Oryzias latipes: one gene and its partner. The protein of the gene in region 2 interacts with the protein of the main gene of each other region in a pairwise test. Links are inferred from orthologs where the notes say so. Each region holds a gene or a part of one and is shown on either strand. Other genes may lie near its edges.

What was found.
Region 1: the proteins of kat5 (region 2) and gapdh interact in binary tests that used the Homo sapiens proteins (3 or more experiments, as listed by UniProt). The link is inferred for Oryzias latipes from reciprocal best matches to the Homo sapiens genes KAT5 and GAPDH.

Annotation. Positions count from the first base shown.
Region 1 is NC_019874.2:20,246,324-20,250,076, reverse strand, and holds the start of gapdh (glyceraldehyde-3-phosphate dehydrogenase), read right to left. Parts: upstream 2,460-3,753; 5' UTR 2,377-2,459; intron 2,081-2,376; 5' UTR 2,055-2,080; coding exon 2,032-2,054; intron 1,020-2,031; coding exon 920-1,019; intron 838-919; coding exon 731-837; intron 649-730; coding exon 558-648; intron 460-557; coding exon 344-459; intron 263-343; coding exon 181-262; intron 91-180; coding exon 1-90. UniProt on the Homo sapiens protein: Has both glyceraldehyde-3-phosphate dehydrogenase and nitrosylase activities, thereby playing a role in glycolysis and nuclear functions, respectively.
Region 2 is NC_019872.2:15,162,068-15,165,820, reverse strand, and holds the start of kat5 (histone acetyltransferase KAT5), read left to right. Parts: upstream 1-979; 5' UTR 980-1,078; coding exon 1,079-1,099; intron 1,100-1,179; coding exon 1,180-1,246; intron 1,247-1,890; coding exon 1,891-1,959; intron 1,960-2,171; coding exon 2,172-2,323; intron 2,324-3,753. UniProt on the Homo sapiens protein: Catalytic subunit of the NuA4 histone acetyltransferase complex, a multiprotein complex involved in transcriptional activation of select genes principally by acetylation of nucleosomal histones H2A and H4.

The DNA.
Region 1 (3,753 bases), on a different chromosome or scaffold from region 2:
GTTCTGGCTGGCACCACGGCCGTCCCTCCACAGCTTACCAGAGGGTCCGTCCACAGTCTTCTGGGTGGCAGTGATGGCATGAACTGTGCTCTGAAGAGAGACCAAGACAAAAAGGGAGGTGGGTTCAATGAGTCTGAACATTCAGCAGCAAAAATCGTTTAATGGAGCGTCTGCTCTCACCATCAGGCCCTCAACAATGCCGAAGTTGTCGTGGACGACTTTGGCCAAGGGGGCCAGACAGTTTGTTGTGCAGGACGCATTGCTTTGAAAAGCAGAAACATTGGCGTCAGAGCTGTAAGATCCAAAAATGGACGGTCCTTTTGTAGATTAAAAGTCATCTTACCTGACAACCGTGAGAGAGTTGTCGTACTTCTCGTGGTTGACTCCCATGACGAACATGGGGGCATCTGCGCTGGGTGCAGAGATGATAACTCTCTTGGCACCGCCCTTCAAGTGAGCCTGCATTTTGGGATTTAAAGAGGATTATTCCGCATTTGCTTGATCCAAAAATAAATAAATAAATAAAAATCATGATATCCAGAGGGGAGCATACATACAGAGGCCTTCTCAATGGTAGTAAACACACCGGTGGACTCCACAACATACTGGGCACCGGCCTCACCCCATTTAATGTTAGTAGGGTCCCTCCTGCAAAGAAAAATCCAATCACTTTCTTTTAGTCGTCCTAAAAAGTAATCACTGATTATTAAATACTGGCACATTAACTCACTCATGGAAGACGGTGATCTGGTGTCCATCAATGACTAGTTTGCCTCCCTCAGCCTTGACCTCACCCTTGAAGCGGTTGTGGGTGGAGTCATACTTGAACATGTAGACCTTAAAACAAAAATAACTTGAATACAAGATCTCCCCCCCCCCCCCCCCCCATTTAATTTAAGACTTAATGTCTTTCACTCACCATGTAGTCCAGGTCAATGAACGGGTCATTGATGGCCACAATCTCCACCTTTTTAGAGGTGAAAGCAGCTCGGGTCACCAGACGGCCGATACGGCCAAAACTGAAATGTGGAAGGACAAGTATCAGTCTGGCCTCTAGATGGCGTCCTGAGGCCATCTAATCTGTGCAGTTATGTCTGAGTGGCAGTGACATAAAGGGGCCAATGCCTAATAACCTGAAATCATTCAGTAAGGGACGCTAGTGCTGACTTTCAGGTGAACCCGAGCAAACGCGGTTCACTGAAAGAACCCCATTTTGTTTCCTTCCTTCACGTTGGCTTATGCATAACATCCCAGGAGACATGAATCTGCAGTCAGATAAAGGGCAGAGCTCATGAGGAGGGGCTGCATGCCGCTCAAATGCTCACACGCCCCTTTCTGGGGGCAAAAGTCAGAAGAACCGCCAGTGTGTTAATCCTGATGACGCCACAGCTGCGGTTTGATCAATGGTCGGGTTACTTTTTAACCACAGTCCTGAAAACCTGGTCTAAAACAGAGGCCAGCAGGACTGGCAGATAACACTAAAGATTCAGGATTGTGATAGTTCAATATCCAATGAGATATTCAGCTTCATTTCTACTCAATTCCAAGAGTAGAAGAAAACGTCTGTCCAGTTGAAGGGGTGAAACAAACTCAAAGTTTTCTACCAAAAGGCCAAAGTTCAGAGATTGAGAGAAAACAAAAAACATCCAGATGGCGCAAAGGTTTGTTCAAATGCATCAGGGGACACTTGTTGCTTCAGATGTTGCACACCACCTTCAAATTGGATGCCAATTGCTTCAGCTCCATGTACGTCTTGATCGCCAGGGAAAATTAAAAACTCTTTAGTAAACCAGAGCTTGTTCTTTAAATCAAGTGTCCTCAAGGTTTCTTGGAACTCTGCTAAAGTTAGTCTGAACATTCAGAGTTTCATTAAGAGATCCTTATTTTAAGAAATCAAACAATTCAGGGAACGTTTTGCAAAACCACTCCAGGAATGTATTAAAAAAATAAAATGATTAAAAAGGAAATATTTGAAGTGCATCAAGAACAATGTGGCATTGTGAGCTTGAAGTGTTGAGAAAAAGCTCTTACCCATTGATACCAACTTTCACCATTTTAGCCTGGGTTGATCTTTAGTCCTCTGTGAGATTAAAGAATAACAATTTAAAAAAAACATCCTTTAGAAATCTATGCAACAAATATTTTTTTTAAAATCACACATCATTTGGGCAGAAAGATGAGCAGAAGGCCTCAAACATTCATGCAAGTCCTTTTTTTTTGGATCACTTTGATTGCTGCAACTTCTCCATGACACTTTACAACTTTCTAAACAGCTTCAATCAAGCAGAAACAAAGCAAAGTGACTGTTTTGCATCAATTGTCTCCAGGTGATTTCAATGAAAGAGTCATGCTGCCAGAAACAGCTGAAGCCTTTACCGTTTGTGAGACGCTTCTGTCTGTCTTGCGACTCCGGGTGTGAGTGGGGAAGAGCAAAGTTTGGTTGGGAGTATTTATGATGGCCCCCTCAGGACAAAGCCACACCCCTTAATGGTCACCGATCCTCACCCCGCCCCCTGTGAATGTCAAGGTCGTTAGCTGCTCAGACACAGGCTCTGAAATCCCATTTTTGTCAAGCTCCTTTCAATTCTTCTTCATATTTAACTTTTAATTACAGTCCTAACTCTTTAGAGCATTTATTCTAATTCAAAATATGTGCTGTCAGTTTAGTCTGAAGCATTTGGAGGTCCTGATTTAGATCCTCCAGCTGAAAAAAGAGAGGGGTCCCTGCTGACCTTCTCACTGAATGCAGACACATGGAGAGAGCAAATGGGGGATCAAATCTCTGGCTTAGTGACGCTGACATTTAATGTTCAAAGACCATGACCCTTCACTTGAATGGTTCTGTTGCCGTGCCTCTTTTTCTGCCGTTTTATCCCCTCAGCTCAAGTCAAAAGTTGAAACTCAGTTGCTCAACTTGAGTCGTGCAGAGGAACTTGTCGGAGTCAGTTTGCTCACCTGAACTGTGACTTTTGTGTGGACATTTGGAAACGGCTCTATAGTAAAACTTTATCTTGAAAGTGCTGCAGCTAAGGAATCTGCAAGAGCACATTTTATCTTTTAGAGATTAATAATCTTTGCTTTCTTCACCAGTCTCAAAACACAACAAGGCTCAGGCATGCCAGCTGCCTTCCGAAGTCTATTTTTGACTCCCTGTTCTGTCAACAATGTTGACATCAGAAAGAAAAGATCTCCCAAGATTACGGTGTTAGATTTTCCCCACGTGTTGCACAAGCAGACCAGACCCGACAAACGCTCGCTTAGATTTCCTCTGCATGTTTCAGCAGGCTGCAGAGACGGTTCTCTGCTCTGAAGCTGAGCAGCAACGGCGGGTTTGGTGGCAGACGTCCAGTGGTCCTGGCATAGCTGAACTATCACAACCCCTCCGAGTGCAAGCATGCCAGTCCCAGCCGCCGCTTTACAGCTTAAGGTCAAAGAAGGGACGCAAAGGTCAAGCTAAGATTAGATTGCAGCGAGTCAAACTCATGATCCATGATATACTCAGTGCTGCAAGTGCTGCCTCGTGGTGATCTTCTTTTGTCTGTTTCACAACAGTTCAAGCACCTCGACGTTTGAGTCGGAACGAAACTGATGCATTGATTTTAGAGAAAAACATGGAAACATTTCATGACATAAATTGGACTCGTTAGTCCTCTGTGTTCATACTGACTCGCTACAAACATCTGCAGAAACATCAGTGGTAAACTTCTAAGCTGTAAAGACGGGACTTTGTGATTGCGTTCATGTAAAAAGGTG
Region 2 (3,753 bases):
GACTAGTTAGTCAATTATTCAATCAACAAGGTCAACTTTACACTTACACCGAATTCCTTCAGTTCTACCAGATCCCTGTTTCTATGAAGGACTTTTCGGTTGTTTTTGATGCCGTTTCCCTCAACCTCACCTATCTTTATAAAGGAACTCCTACTCCATCTGCTCCCCAACCACAGCTTCATGTGACAGACACTGCTGTCGGAAAACTCTGCTTCTCTGCTTTGAGAAATCAAAACAAAACCATCCGAAGACTGTTCCAGCAGGAGCTCAAAACTGAATCCCCGGCCATAACTTTCTGGACTTCACTTCATGGTCAAATGTGTTGGGAAAAGGTTTGGCTTCTGCCAAACAAATATCTTCTAAACAACAAAGTGAAAGAGGTTTCATTCAAGATCATTCATAGGTTTTATCCAACAAATCAGTATATGCAAAGGCTAAAAAGGGATATTGATAAAAACTGTTTTTTCTGTTCTCAGTCTGAGGAAACGTTGGTGCATATTTTTTGGACCTGCAAGTACACTGAAAAAATATGGGACAAAATGACAAATTTGATAAAAACTCAAATTTATCCACATTTTAATTTAACCTGGAAAAACATCTTATTTGGTTACATTAATTATGATAAGACATTTTTATCTCAATTTTATTTAATAAATCTTCTAATTTTATTAACCAAGTATTATATTCACAAATCTAAATTCAGCAATAAAGCTCCTAATTTTCTTGATTTACTAGCCCAAGTTAGATGTTACTTACATTCCATTTCCCCCAGTACAAACAAAAAAGCTATTAAAACGTATCACCTTGCTCAGCTGTATAATTTAGTGTAAGTTTATTTTTTTGCTTGCATATCCCCTGGCGTTTATTTTGAACATTTGATGTACAGCTTATTGTTCCTTGTTCTTTTGCTGTATGTCACTTTTGTTCTGCATCAATAAAAAAAAAAAAAAAAAAATTTCCGGGTTGGCTCCATAACTTCCGCTTAGCGACGCATGCTCAGTCTCACTGCGTTTTACGTCTTTGATGTGGACCGGCATTTTCCCACAACACACTGCAGCAGCTTACACCAACGACGAAAATGGCGGACAACTGTTCTTCGGTAGGTTATGGAAACGTATATTATTGTTTTTAAAAATAACAGCTACTATTGGATACTAACATCTGCTGTTTTATCAACAGGTCGAAATTGTGGAAGGCTGTCGCCTCCCCGTTCTTCGTAAAAACCAGGAACATGAGGATGAGTGGCGTAAGTACTTTTCGTTCGTGCTTAGAGCTAAGCTAATGCTAACTAACAAACAAATATGACGGCCTTCAAAAAAACCTTAAAAACAAATTCAGATAAAATGCAGTGACTGCTATGGTAGAAACTGTTCGTTTAGGTCTAAATTGCTTTGTTACTTCTTTATTTGTGTTTTTGGGCTGGAAATCATTTAGTCGCAATGTTTAAACACTAGAAATTTAGATAAGTCTGAATTACATTTTGCTTTTCAAAAGCCCTACATTTTAAATTACGAATTTAAAAAAAGGTTGAGTTTCATACGCAAGGATTGTATAAATTGTGATAATTCACTGCTGTCCAGTACAGTTCATCATGTAGACATGAGAGCTGAAGTTAAAGATGACAATGTTTTTTCTTAAAAGAGCATAAGTTCATCTAGTTTGTTGAATTCCTGAGGTAGTTCCAAGCTATTTAAATCAAAGTACTAGCTTTGTTACACATCATCAGTGTGATTAAAGTAAGCAATACCCATTTTTATCTTGGCGCTAAAAAGCAAAACCACTCTTGCACTAATTATAACTGTGAATGTTCATTTTCCACTTGAATTAAGATAAAATAGCTGTGTGTTTACTTTGTAAATAGTATTTATAATTTCTTTTCTACTTGTGCAGCTTTGGCTGAGATCCTGAGTTTGAAGGAGGTTTCTGGAAGAAAGCTGTTCTATGTTCACTACATTGACTGTGAGTAAAGCAAAGTTCATCTTTCCTGTTTCACTATCATTAAAGAAAGCTTAGACTTTTCATTCATGTCATTGTTTCAGAAAAAACAAAAGTGATTCCAAACACATAAAGAACGTTCTAGTTTCGGTCGTGTTTCATATGGACGGAAAAAAATAATCTTTTCATAACAGTTGGTCTTTTAGTTGGTAATGTAAAATTGTGTGTGTCTGCAGTCAACAAGCGCTTGGATGAATGGGTCACAGCAGACAGGCTGGACATGAAGAAGCTCCAGTTTCCCAAAAAAGAAGCAAAAACACCCACAAAGAATGGACTGTCAGGCTCGCGTCCTAGCTCACCAGAAAGAGCAGAAAGAGAAGTAGTACCAGTAAGTTTACCCTTGAAGATTCATAATAAAGCATTAGTAAACTACATTTAAATGTTTACGGCAGTTCCCCAACAGTACTGTTGGAAAACAGTTGGTTGTGAAAGACTATTTTCATTGACTGCTTAGTTTCCATCTTATTGAAGTTGAGTTTTTTTTTGATAAAAAATTGAATCTACAGGTTTTTTTTCCAGTCACAAAAACAAAACATACTTGCATACTTGCCAGGCTTGTTTTTAGGACCTTTTTTTTTTTTATCATAATCTGTTTCTGTTTTATGAGTGTTGTCAAGCACTACATATATATAGTGTATATATATAGTTATATATAGTTGGAAAGTTTTGTCTGTATGCTGTTAAGTCTGGTTTTCTTTTGAAAATGTGTCTTTGCTCACTATTTCAAGGGCCACACACAATCACAACAAAAGCATGAACGGCAAAAGCATGAATGGCATCTCTGGGTTTTTTGTAAGTCAGTTGGTAAAGCAGCTTCTGCAGTCTCCTGCTCATTCTGTCTGATGAAAAACAGACAGACCAGGTTTATGTCGACACTCAGCAATGTCGGTCATCTGCAACATATTTGGGTTAGGTGTTTTGCAGACAAAATCCTTCTTGAACAGCATGCATTGACAATAGTTGCTGCCCTGTTTCTCTTCTAAATGACACAGGCTATAAACTTAAGTAGATTAGAATTCTTCCTTTAGCTTCAAAGCAGAGAAACAAAATGGTTAAAAATCAAATTCAACAAAGCAAATGTTCAAGATTTATTTGATGCTTTACTCAAGATGCCTCTGATACAAATATAACTAAAATTGGAATAAAATGATATTGTTGAATCAATTGTTACTTAAAAAAATGAATAGTTCTCATAATTAAATGGATAAATAACGCCCCGTAGAGTTGATATTGACTCTCTCCTTAAAACTCAACCCTCACACTTTATTTGAGCTGTGGACTCTCTTTAAAGTTTGAAATTTTGCCAGTTAAAGTTTAATGTTATTATAATTTCAGGGGGGGGTTGTCTCTAAATTACCTAAATCACTGCGCTGTCTGCTTTCTCTTCAAACTGTGCTCTGTGAGGTGACTGCATAACAGTGAGGATTCATGTTTCAGTCCATGTTTCAGACTTATTTTCTAGAACCAAAGTATGGTGGCACCGGAGAGCTATCCCTAAAACTGAGACTCAGTTTGGTCAAAGTTGTCTGTCTGAGAGCACAAGGAGTAGCAAACAGATGTTGGGGCTGACGGGGCAAAATGCAACAGCACAGCACTCTGCAATATTCATGTTAATTACTATAATATTTTATAATTTATTCATGTAAATGCTGTGCCTAAAAAAGAACATATTTTAATATTCTTTACTGTTTTATTTCCTGAATAAGTTATTAAACTGCTGAAGCAGTGTGTGGAAAAACTTGGTAAGACCATAACTTT